Callithrix jacchus: one gene and its partners. The protein of the gene in region 2 purifies or fractionates together with the protein of the main gene of each other region. This does not show direct contact. Links are inferred from orthologs where the notes say so. Each region holds a gene or a part of one and is shown on either strand. Other genes may lie near its edges.

Region 1 (4,122 bases), on a different chromosome or scaffold from region 2:
TGAGAGGAGAGGAAATCAGATATTACTTGAGAGGGTGGAGAATCCAGCTCCTAATGAAAAACAACTTTGATAGCACAGTACTATCACCTTCAAAGTGTCTGGTAAACAATCTTTCTTTTCACCCCTTTAAAGGCTTAAAGCACCACACAAGTGGTTTGCAGGCCCTTTCCAGCTCCAAAAATGTTAGAATTCTGCCATCAGCTGGGGGTTCTAGTCCCAGCTCTTTCCCAGATGGGCTATGTGACCTGACACATGATACTCAGGCCTGCATGGATTTTCCTCATCTATAAACCAATCCCCATGATTCTTTAACCTTTTATTTCCCATTGCTGACACAGAATCAAAAGTAAATATCAAAAGTAATTTATTCTTTTAAACAATTTAAATATACTTTAATACTAATGTAAACATTTTTGGTCTGGGTATCAGAATTTTGTCTGGATACCCATCAATGGCATGGCAATCTTACCTCTAAAAGTAGCCATTTTTATCAAGAAATACAGTAATTAAGTATAATTTCAATGTAAATTAAAATTTAATATGCATGTACTTTCATCTCATATTGTCAGATAATGTAAGACTCCCATCTAAACCAGCTTTTTTTAAAATTTAGATTTAAAACTTTAATGAAGACTTTTGTTGGGTGGGGGTGAGGTACAGAATCTTGCAATTTTTTTTAGCACTGATAAATAGTGCAATATAATTTTAAAATATATTGGAATTTAAAAAATATCTCAAATGAGTAAGATCTCATATGTGAAATAAACTGATTTTTGTAAAACATTTCATTATTTGCCATACTGTTTGGTCATAAAGTGAGGCTCATTATACTGTAGCAACTGGATTTTTCTACCTTACAGAGAGGCACGTTTTAATAAACCAAATTAGCGATTAAAATGGCCTCAGGCTAAAGGAAAGGGGCCTTTCGCATTCTACACAGAATTGTCATCATATATTTATGAGGTCGGATTTATGTATGTTCTGCATGCTTTGATCTATTGTGCCTGGATTCATATCCAAGCTTTTATCATGATCTGGCTCAGGCAAGCCATTTAACTGGGGAGTCACTGGCCTCACTTTAAATGTGTTATGAGGATAAAATGAAATCAAAAGTATTCTAAAAAGAAAATAGAAAATTAATATACCAAATACTGCTGTTATGGCAAATTAGCTCAATTATTTAAGTGCCTGCGTAGGGAGAATGCGCTGAGGCTCTAATCTATTTATTTCCACTCCATGAATTTCTCTAATTCCATACCTGTATTTCACAGAGCCAAACAGGACCTATGCATTAGTCCACGTAATTTACCTCCACCGAAAATTACCTCCTTTCTCAGGCTTTGCTTTCAATCAGACCAGATATCTGTCATAAAGCAAGACAGACATATTCCACGTTTATGATTACTAACAAGCATTTTCTCTCGTGAGGCAACATCAAGAATACAAATCTACCTGAAAGGTTTCCAATCCATTAGCGGATTGGAATCACTGGTCTGATGACTTTCTAAGGCTACAGGTGGACACTGCCCATGCCCGGTGGTGACCAAGCTGATGAAATCTGCAGTTCTCAAAGGCACAGATCATGACACGCACTATCCGTGAGGCATCATTCTTAAAAGTCTACTCACTATGTAAGCGCCTGGAAATGTCGGACAGGTGCTTAGGGAAAGAATGGGAAATCCCTAGTCAGTCACAAGTCTCTGCAGTGTTACTACCGTTGCCGACGCAGGAAACTGGCTAGGGAGGGGGTGGTGCGTGCTTTCAAAGGAGTACTCAGAATCGCTACAGGGTGCCAGAGCTGATCTCTGGCAGGGAAGTCTGTGAAGGCCTTGGCGCTGGTCAAGTGGGTTTTTAACTCAGGGAACGGGGAAACAAGTGGTTCTAGGAGGTGCCAAAATAAATCCCCTTATCGCCACGCAGGTCTCCAACATGCGGCACTCGGACAGTCTCTTCCCAACACCCTCCCTTAACGAGAGCGCGCGCCCGAGGGGGCCCATTACCATCCTGCAGGATGAGGCTGGGCTGCACCGCCTGTACCCGGAACTGTCTGGCCCTCCAGCCGGGGCTGGGCGCCCGCACCACCTCGCTATCGGAGAGCCAGGTCACAGTCTCAAAGTTGTCCCCGCGAGCCAGAGCCTCAGCCTCGGCGTGGTGCACGGCCACCCGGTCGAACTGGTAGAGGCCGCCGGAGTGGTCGAAGTGCACGTGGGTGGCCACGGCAAGCAGCGGCCGGTGCGCCGCATCCTCTTTGGCCCCGCGGTCCTGCAAGAGGCCGGAGGAGTACAGGTACTCCGGGAGGCTGCGCAGCCCCAGGCCTGTATCAATCACCACGTCCTGCTCGGAGCCGCGCACCAGCCAGATGTTGGCGCGGTTGCCTGACTCATAGAAGCGTTCTTGAATCCAGAAGATACCATCGCCTAGAGACTTGTGGGCGTACCACTCGAGAGCCGACATGCTGGGCAGGGGTGCAGCCAGGCAGGATGAGTGTGGGCGTGCGTGCCTCCCACAGGCTGGCTGTCCAGACACCAGGCGCTGCGGCTGTGTGGAGCGTTCTGCTGCAGCCAGAGAGGAGGCGCAGAGCGAGGCGGGGGCGGGGAATGCGGGGGTAGGAATAGGAGGAGGAAGGAAGGACGCAGACCCACGCTACCTGGAGCGTGCGCTCCCGCACCCTCCCGCCAGGTCGGCAGCCAGTAAAGGCTGCGCCACCTGCACCGAGGCACAGGAGCTACCGCAGCCTGTACAGCTGCAGCTCGAGGGAGATTTAACGCAGGGGCCACTGCAGCAGAATGGAGACTCAGGAGGCGACTATTTCCCCACCCCAGGAGTGTGGCAGCAGAGACCCGGAGCGAGCAGGGGAAGCGCTAGGACCGCCCACCCACCAGCTTTCCGCGGTGCGCACTCCCAGCTGGCGCGGAAAGTGAGGGGCCTAACGGGTTGTCCGGTGACTACGGCGACTGCCAAGGCCAAAAAAGCTCTGTGCCGAGGGGATGGGGCCTGCCTAGGGAGTGGGCGGGGCTAGTTGGTAGAGCTCACCCTGCAGTTCTGGGACCGCCGGGAGGGCGGTGCGCGCTTCTCCCGAGGTGGAACCCGCGGCGCTGGAACGCCGGCGTCCTCTGCCAGCACCCCTTCCTTGCCGGCCGGCACTTCGACTGCAGAGTTTTGCCCACGCTTCGAGACTTAGGGAGCAGGTAACCGAGGAAGCAATCGAAGACTTGGGAGGGGTGGTGAGGATAGAGGAAAGTTAAAGGGACACGTGGAGAAGGTAGGGGGAAGTCGGGGTTAGAGATTATTAAAGCGCCTCTGGGTTGAGGGGCGTTTGGAGATGGCTTGGTACCTCCCCTGGTGCTGCTCCCTTCAGAATCTTTTTTAAGTCGAATTTCCAGATTTTACTTAGTCTCCGCTTCTGGGACTGTTTACAGTGAGTTAGAAGGGTAGTCTCTTACTTACAGTAGGTGATTTTCAGAATCCGGTGACTTGATGATTTGTTTAGGCACTAGTCATTGCCGCAGATTGAAGCTGAGGACCGACTATTCAGCATCTATTTTCGTAACTGTTGGCACTTTTATATCGTAGGGATGGGAGCTGTTAATATGGTTTGTCTTTTCTTCTAAAAAATAAAATTCTATATCCACTCTCTTTTTTTTTTCTTTTTTTGGTTAGTCTGCCCTTGGAGGAGGGTAAAGAAAGTTGGTAGTGAAGTTCAACCAAGGAAAGAGGGAGAACCTGGTGAGGACGGGAAAAGTGAATAATGACTGGGTGTGGCCCCGCCAGCCACGTAAATCACCCGCACTGTTAACATCAGGTCACTGCATCCATTCCCCACACTTCCCAGCTATTGAAGCAGCTATTTAGGTTTTGGGTTTTTTTTGTTTTTTTGGTGAGACAGTCTCACTCTGTCGCCCAGGCTGGAGTTCAGTGGAACCTCCGTCTCCTGGGTTCAAGCGATTCTCTTGCCTCCGCCTGCCAAGTAGCTGAGATTACACGCGCCTGCCACTGCATCCGGCTAATCTTGTATTTTTAGTAGGAATGGGTTTCACTCTGTTTGCCAGGCCGGTCTTGAACTCCTGACCTCAAGCGATCCGCCCGCCTCGGCCTCCCAAAGTGCTGGGATTACAGGCGTGA
Region 2 (3,652 bases):
GATTCTGCTTAACTCAATCCCAGTCTCTGTTTATCACAAGCTGTCAACAACCCAGAGTAAAACAAAAAGAGTCATACTACTTAGCCTCAATCAGAAAATGAGTCACACAGCATCCCCCTTTCCTTACATATTACGTTTGTTAATTGAGGTTTTACCTCATTTAAAAAGACTCATTATTTTAAATAGCATTTAAAATTCATTACTTATTTTCTCCTGAATCATTCTGCTGTTAGACACACAAAAATAATTCAAAGATTTCCTTTAAGAACTTACCTTTCTAAGCATTTCATTATCTTGAACATTATTGAGTTCATGTGAACTAATCTCTCCTTTCAGCGTATACTCATAAAATTTTCCACTAACATTTACCAGTAAGGTAGTTGGACTTGACTGCACTTCACAGCTCAGGGTCACATTATTCACATCACTTGGAACGTGAATGCCATACCGAAGCACAAGGCCCACCAAAAGACCTGGAAAAAAAGAACAATGTAAGCTCTTCTTGCCAACAGAGATCATTTCTTTTGTATCCCATGCATAACTACAGGTAAGAGAAAATCTCTTACGGTAGGTAGTTCCCTGTAGCTCAGAACTGGTTTTCAGATGAAATGCAGTTATATTTTAAAGTATTACTAAATTCATACAACCAACAGCCCAATCTTCATATAATCCAGTGAAACAGGAGAGAAAAATATTCCCTAGGCAACAGCACAGATCCCTGCATTTCTAGATCAATATTTAAAGAAGTAATGAGGGAGGTAACAAAAGGAGAAAATATCTTCAAATCATCTGTAGACAGAATATGCTCCAAGGTGTCCCGACTCAGCAGTGCAATCATGTCAGAAATCTGTTTTCTGGCCGGGAGCAGTGGTTCACATCTGTAATCTTACCACTTTGGGAGGCCAAGACAGGCAGACTGCCTGAGAGCTCAGGAGTTCGAGACTAGCCTGAGCAACATGGCGAAACTCCGTCTCTACTAAAATACAAAAAATCAGCCAAGTGTGGTGGCAGGCGCCTGTAATCCCAGCTACTCAAGAGGCTGAGGTGAGAGAATTGCTTGAACCTGGTAGGCAGAGGTTGCAGTGGGCCGAGACCATGCCACTTCATTCCAGTCTGGGCAACAAAGGAAACTCTGTCTCAAAAAGAAAAAAAAGAAAGAAAGAAAAGAAAAGAAACGTGTTTTTCACATCCATCCATCAATTTACAAGACTTAATGCACTTCCAGGTTTATTCTCAAAGCACATGGCTGGCCAAATAACACATAGTTAACAAATTGAAAAGCCAATAATGTTTGTAGGTTGATTGGGTTATTCTAATTCTAGAAGTGAGATTTTAATTTTAAAATACCTGCTTTAAAATCAAAACGTGGATTAGAAGTCCTGAATCTGGCACTATGACATCAACAGATTGCTAAGATTTTACTTGGATCATCCTATTGACATTCAAATATGCACAATGTACTAGATGCCATAAAACTAATTTTTTTTTTTTCACAATGAAGTCTTGCTCTGTTACCGAGGCTGGAGTGCAGTGGCGTGATCTCGGCTCACTGCAACCTCTGCCTCCCGGGTTCAATCAATTCTCGTGGCTCAGCCTCGCAAGTAGCTGGAATTACAGACATGTACCACCACTATGCATGGCTAATTTTTGTATTTTTAGTAGAGACGGGGTTTTGCCATGTTGGCCAGACTGGTCTCGAACACCTGACCTTGCAATCCATCCACCTCGGCATGAGCTACCACGCCTGGCCCTATAAAACTACATTGATCGGGCCAGGCATGGTGGCTCATGCCTGTAATCCCAGCACTTTGGGAGCCCGAAGTGGGTGGATGACCAGAGGTCAGGTGTTCGAGACCAGCCTGGCCAACATGGCAAAACCCCGTCTCTACTAAAAATACAAAAATTAGCCAAGTGTGGTGGCGGGCACCTACAATCCCAGCTACTCTGGAGGCTGATGGGGAATCGCTTAAACTGGGAGGTGGAGGTTGCAGTGAGCCGAGAGTGCACCCTTGCACTTCAGCCTGGGTGACAAGAGTAAAACTCCATCTCAAAAAAAAAAAAATACTACATTGATCAACTGTAATTGTTTAATAATGGCTTTACTGATATCTAATTCAAACACCAAAAGTTTATCATTTTAAACTGTACAATTCAGTGGTCTTTAGTATATTCATGGAGTTGGATATATCTAATTCTAATTCTAGAACATTTTCATCTCTCCAAAAAGAAACCCCACACCTATTAGCAGTCACTCTCCATTCCCCCTCAACCCCAATCCCCAGTCCCTGGCAACCACTCATCTACTTTCTTTATTTATGGACCTGCCTTTTCTAGACATTTCATATAAATAAACTCCTATAATATATGGCCTGCTGTGTCTGATTTCTTTCACTTAGCATAACGTTTTCAAGGTTTATCTATGTTGTAGCATGGATTAGAACCTCCTTTATTTTTATGGCCAAACAATATTTCATTGCATGAACATACCTCAACTACAAATATAACCCAAACTTCTAGAACTTTCCTCAACTCCAAGATGCATAGTATACCACAACTAGCTACATTTCGCCTTTCTATTGCCTTTCTTTCTGACTAGCCAGCCATTTTTTTCATATGTAAATGAGTGAACTATGCTAGATAGGCCTCCAGGGTTCAGAGATGAAAACAACGTCCCTCCTTCAAGGAAAACTCGGTCCAGTTAGTGAAAACAGACTGAATAAGCAATCATAATGCAATATATACGTATACAAGGTATTATAAAAACAAAAGAGACACCTACCCAAGCCTGGGGGAGTAAGATATTAGGGAAGTCGTTCTGGAGACATCACCTGGGCAGGTAACCAACTAGAAGAAATGGGTCTATTCCAAGTAGGGGAATAGTAAGTACCACATATCCAGTCACAGATGGAGAGAACACAGCCCATCCAGGGAATCAAGTAGTTCAGTATGGCTGGCTTATAAAGTAACAAGAGTTGAGGTTTGAAAGATTGGCAGGAGTTGAATCATAAAAGATCTTATCTGTTGGGGAAGGGAGCTTTTAGTTTATCCGAAAAGTAAAATGAAATCATAGAAGGCAGAGGCTTCGTATCAGATTTCTACTTTAGAAAGACTGGCCTAGACTAGAGAGAGTCTAAAAGGCTAGATACAGGGCTATTGCAGGCATTCAGGCCATAAGAGTTTGGGTCTTAAACCTAAGAGAGAACTGAGAAGGGAGGAGAAGGATTTTTAGAAGGTATTATATTTTAGTAAGATTTAGTGACTGAGTAGAACAGACTATGAGGAAGGGAGGTGAAAGACTAAGAGAAGCCTTAGTTGATTTGGTAACCAGGTAAGTAAGTTGGCCTGAGCACCCAGGGGATAGCAAGGCTGTTCAATGAGGTAAGGAACACAGACAGATGAACAGATTTACAGGGAAAAAGGCTATGTTGTTTTGGACACGTTGAGTTGGATGTACTTGTGACACATGCATAGTTGAGTATGTGGTATCTGGAGCTAGAGCAGAAGGTCTCAACTGGAGATACACACTGTGCAGTCATAAGATGGTTGAAGTCAAACGTAGATGAGATCACCAGGGGAGCAAACAAAATGGGAAGAAAACTATGATATAGGTCTTGGGTTTGACCTATTAATAGCCAACATTAAAGGGCCGCTA
Region 3 (3,652 bases), on a different chromosome or scaffold from region 2:
TGTTTCTTTTGGTTAATTTTTTTGTTTAACGTCTGTCTCTTTCATTAGACTTCAAACTCCATAATACAGGAACCATGTATGTCTCCATCATCTAGCATAGTGCCTGGCCCAGAATACATACATGTGATGGTAGAGTGAGTCAGTGAGCAATGATATTTTCACATGTATTTGATTTAATTGACAGTTTAATCAATTAGGATCTAATGGAAGTTTTATGTTGAGTAGTTGTGCTGAGATTCATCCATACCTGATTAATGATACCTGTCATAGGTATATGTTAAATGGAATGACCCCATTTTTGCTATACAGTGATCTTTCTGATTTGGACAAATTGAACAACTTGCATTCAATAACTTTACTAAATCTAAAAAAATATCTAAAATAAATAAATTGTGAAATTTACTTATATTTCTGTGTCTGTTGGATTTTCCCTTTTCCTTTTTTGTAGTATTTAAAGTCAGTATCACTCATAGAGACCATTGTTTACAGAGCAAAAAGAAACAAGATTTTATTTCCAGTATATTACTTGTGAATTAATATCAGTTAAAGTTTTCTTTTTCCCAGTTAGCATTGCTAATTTTATTCAACAGCAGATACTTATTAAGCAGCATTTATAATGAAGTTATTTTATTTGAAAATCTCCTCAATTACTTTTTCTTCCAGGGAGTCTGGAGTCCTCGAAAAATTCCTAATCCAGATTATTTTGAAGATGATCATCCATTTCTTCTGACTTCCTTCAGTGCTCTTGGTTTAGAGCTTTGGTCCATGACCTCTGATATCTACTTTGATAATTTTATTATCTGTTCAGAAAAGGAAGTAGCAGATCACTGGGCTGCAGATGGTTGGAGATGGAAAATAATGATAGCAAATGCTAATGAGGTATGGTATTGACCAATTGCAGTAGTGATATAACTATAAATAATAATAATAAGACTTGGTCTTGGTTATAGGTTATTCAGATGTCTCTTTTAAAGGGAAATAAATGTGCAATAATTATTAAATGCTAAGGAAATATGTTTGAATAAGTTTATGTAGACAGAATATTTTGCCTTTTATGTTGCTTCGTTACAAACTACATAACTATATATGCATATGTAAGTCCTCATTTTATTCATTAAATTATAATAGCTCTAATGGGATTTAAGGCTTAATTACTGTTTATAGAGGAAGACTACTCAATATCTTTGTTATCTTGCCAATTCAAGGCCTAACAATAATCTAAATATTACTGCTTATGCATTTCAACTATTTTTTACTTAGAGAAATGTACAAAGAATTTATAGTTTAACATTATTAAATTCTGTTCCAGTTTTTCCCCCATATCTAACACTGTTTAGAAAAGGTTAAGCTAAATATTTCAACACAATGCATCTTAGAAATGTATCTTTAAATTCAGTTGCTATAAAGAAAAATTCATATATTACATTTAGTTGCTTTGGTCATTAGCAAAAAACCATCAAAAGAATAGGTAAAGAGGGATTCTCATTTTGAACCTCTTGTAACTAAAACATTTAATGGTTTTTAATTTTATTTTAATAAGAGAAATAATATCCTTATTGAGGGTCTTGTGTAGGAAATGTGTTTATATAAAAAAAAAACAATTCTGAGGTATGATTTTTAGTAAATTCCTTAAAAGTACAGAATGAATGATCAGAGTACAGAATGAATGATCACTTCAAATGAACCAGGTGATACATCCATAAAAGATAGTTCTATTCTGAAATTTACCAAAAAGGAAAATTACCATATTTCTTGCCAGTGTGTTAGAAGTTTCCATTTTTGTCATAACATACTTTCTGCTACAAAGTCTCACTCCTTGATACATGCTAATAATTAAATTAAACTTTACAAAGTATAAGGTGGGAAAATGAAACTTCCTTTACTTACAAGTTCATCACTCCTTAATGTAAAATGCCCGAGTAAATAAGTTCTTTGTATCTTGTGTTACCCAGTAAAGGTCTGTAAAATTTGAATTGTATTTTTATGCTTATCTCATCTACAGCCTGGTGTATTAAAACAGTTAATGGCAGCTACTGAAGGGCACCCATGGCTTTGGTTGATTTATCTCGTGACAGGAGGAGTGCCAATAGCATTAATTACTTCATTTTGTTGGCCAAGAAAAGTAAAGGTAAAGAAAATAGATTTCCTTCAACTTCTTTTCCCCAAATTTTTTATTGTTCAAGAGTTCTATATATATTGAGCAAGTGATTCTTAAAAGTAATAAATTAAATGTTTTGTAAGTTTTACTGATAGTTCATTATGTTGTCAATTATTGAAAAAAAGTTTTTCAAAATAATGCTCTGCCTTTAGTAAAAATAACTTATGTTAAACTACCACAGAAGAAATATAAAGATACAGAGTATAAAAAACCCGACATATGTATACCACAAACAAAGGGAGTACTAGAGCAAGAAGTAAAGGAAGAGAAAGCAGCCCTGGAAAAACCAATAGACCTGGAAGAGGAAAGAAAGCAAAGTGATGGTGAAATGCTTGAAAAAGGTAAGACAATGATAATGATTCGTAATGGAGACCCTGGTTAAAGCTCATAAAAACAGTACATTACCTTGAAATAACTAGCTGTCGTACTTGTTTATTATCAAGTTTATACATCTGACTCTCCCAAGAATGTGTGACTATGGCAAAGAGAAGTAATAGTCTTCTGAGCAGCCACCCTGTTTATAGTTTTTGTGTTTTAGGAAGAAGGAGATTTAAATAGTGTTCAGTTGTTTCAGAGCCTAGCAGTTACGAATCCCATAGGCCATAACTTTTTGCAAGGATGTTTCTTGCCTCTGGGAGTGTAGAAGATGAGAAGGAGAATGATGGAGGGTATATATCATAGCCTCTATAGAAAAGGAATAGATAGAAAGCAGATGATTGCAGCAACAAAATCAACACCAAGTCTTCCAATGGCTATTGCTAATCAGATGCTTATCATGTAGAAAAATAATTTAATTAATTTTCTAAAAGGATTACTGAACCTATATCCCCCTCCCACACAATATTATATTGTTGAAGGTGTTAGAACTGAAGTCACCCTTTGGTGGCTCTCCATTGAGACCTCCCTACATGAGGCAGAAATAAAACTTGATTTTCCCAGTGTCACAAGCCAAATATCCTGAAGCACTATTTTTCACTCACTTGATGAAGTGATATTGATGTCAAAATAAGGATCAACCTTATTTTGAGGGCATTTGAGTATCAGAAGGGCCTGCTTGTATAAAGGTACTTTCACCTATACACGTAGTCCCACACTGTGGATGGAGAACTACATGGAAGAAGTAGAGTGGATTTTTCATCTTTTCTTTTCCCCAGAGCCCATTCTTGGTGGGGTAGGGGTTTTTCTTTATATGGCTCCTAGAACATTCTTAATATCTTTTGGTAATGATAATAACAAAAGTTAGAGGTTCTGCTAAATGGAATCCTAAGGAGGGTCAATAACTGAAAAAATGCATGATAATGTCCACAGAGAACAAACATAAATAAATAGCATATTAACAAATAAAAGATCACCAAAAAGTAAAGGAAGTATTTCCCAAGACAAGAACACAGGAAAGATTGTTTTTGGTTTCCACATTACATACAGACTGAATGCTTAAGAATTTTTTTAAACCTGTCCTCAACTCAAATATGATGATTCATTTGTAAAATATGA

Evidence for each region.
Region 1: the proteins of SLC9A6 (region 2) and MBLAC2 purify together in Homo sapiens (co-immunoprecipitation; 3 studies listed by BioGRID and IntAct, counting the BioPlex papers as one, with this or other methods). This does not show direct contact. The link is inferred for Callithrix jacchus from reciprocal best matches to the Homo sapiens genes SLC9A6 and MBLAC2.
Region 3: the proteins of SLC9A6 (region 2) and CLGN purify together in Homo sapiens (co-immunoprecipitation; 3 studies listed by BioGRID and IntAct, with this or other methods). This does not show direct contact. The link is inferred for Callithrix jacchus from reciprocal best matches to the Homo sapiens genes SLC9A6 and CLGN.

The regions. Positions count from the first base shown.
Region 1 is NC_133503.1:120,289,889-120,294,010, reverse strand, and holds the start of MBLAC2 (acyl-coenzyme A thioesterase MBLAC2), read right to left. Parts: upstream 2,941-4,122; 5' UTR 2,455-2,940; coding exon 2,001-2,454; intron 1-2,000. UniProt on the Homo sapiens protein: Acyl-CoA thioesterases are a group of enzymes that catalyze the hydrolysis of acyl-CoAs to the free fatty acid and coenzyme A (CoASH), providing the potential to regulate intracellular levels of acyl-CoAs, free fatty acids and CoASH.
Region 2 is NC_133524.1:132,789,168-132,792,819, reverse strand, and holds part of SLC9A6 (sodium/hydrogen exchanger 6), read right to left. Parts: intron 474-3,652; coding exon 274-473; intron 1-273. UniProt on the Homo sapiens protein: Endosomal Na(+), K(+)/H(+) antiporter. Mediates the electroneutral exchange of endosomal luminal H(+) for a cytosolic Na(+) or K(+).
Region 3 is NC_133504.1:56,554,476-56,558,127, forward strand, and holds part of CLGN (calmegin), read left to right. Parts: intron 1-663; coding exon 664-879; intron 880-2,002; coding exon 2,003-2,128; intron 2,129-2,339; coding exon 2,340-2,499; intron 2,500-3,652. UniProt on the Homo sapiens protein: Functions during spermatogenesis as a chaperone for a range of client proteins that are important for sperm adhesion onto the egg zona pellucida and for subsequent penetration of the zona pellucida.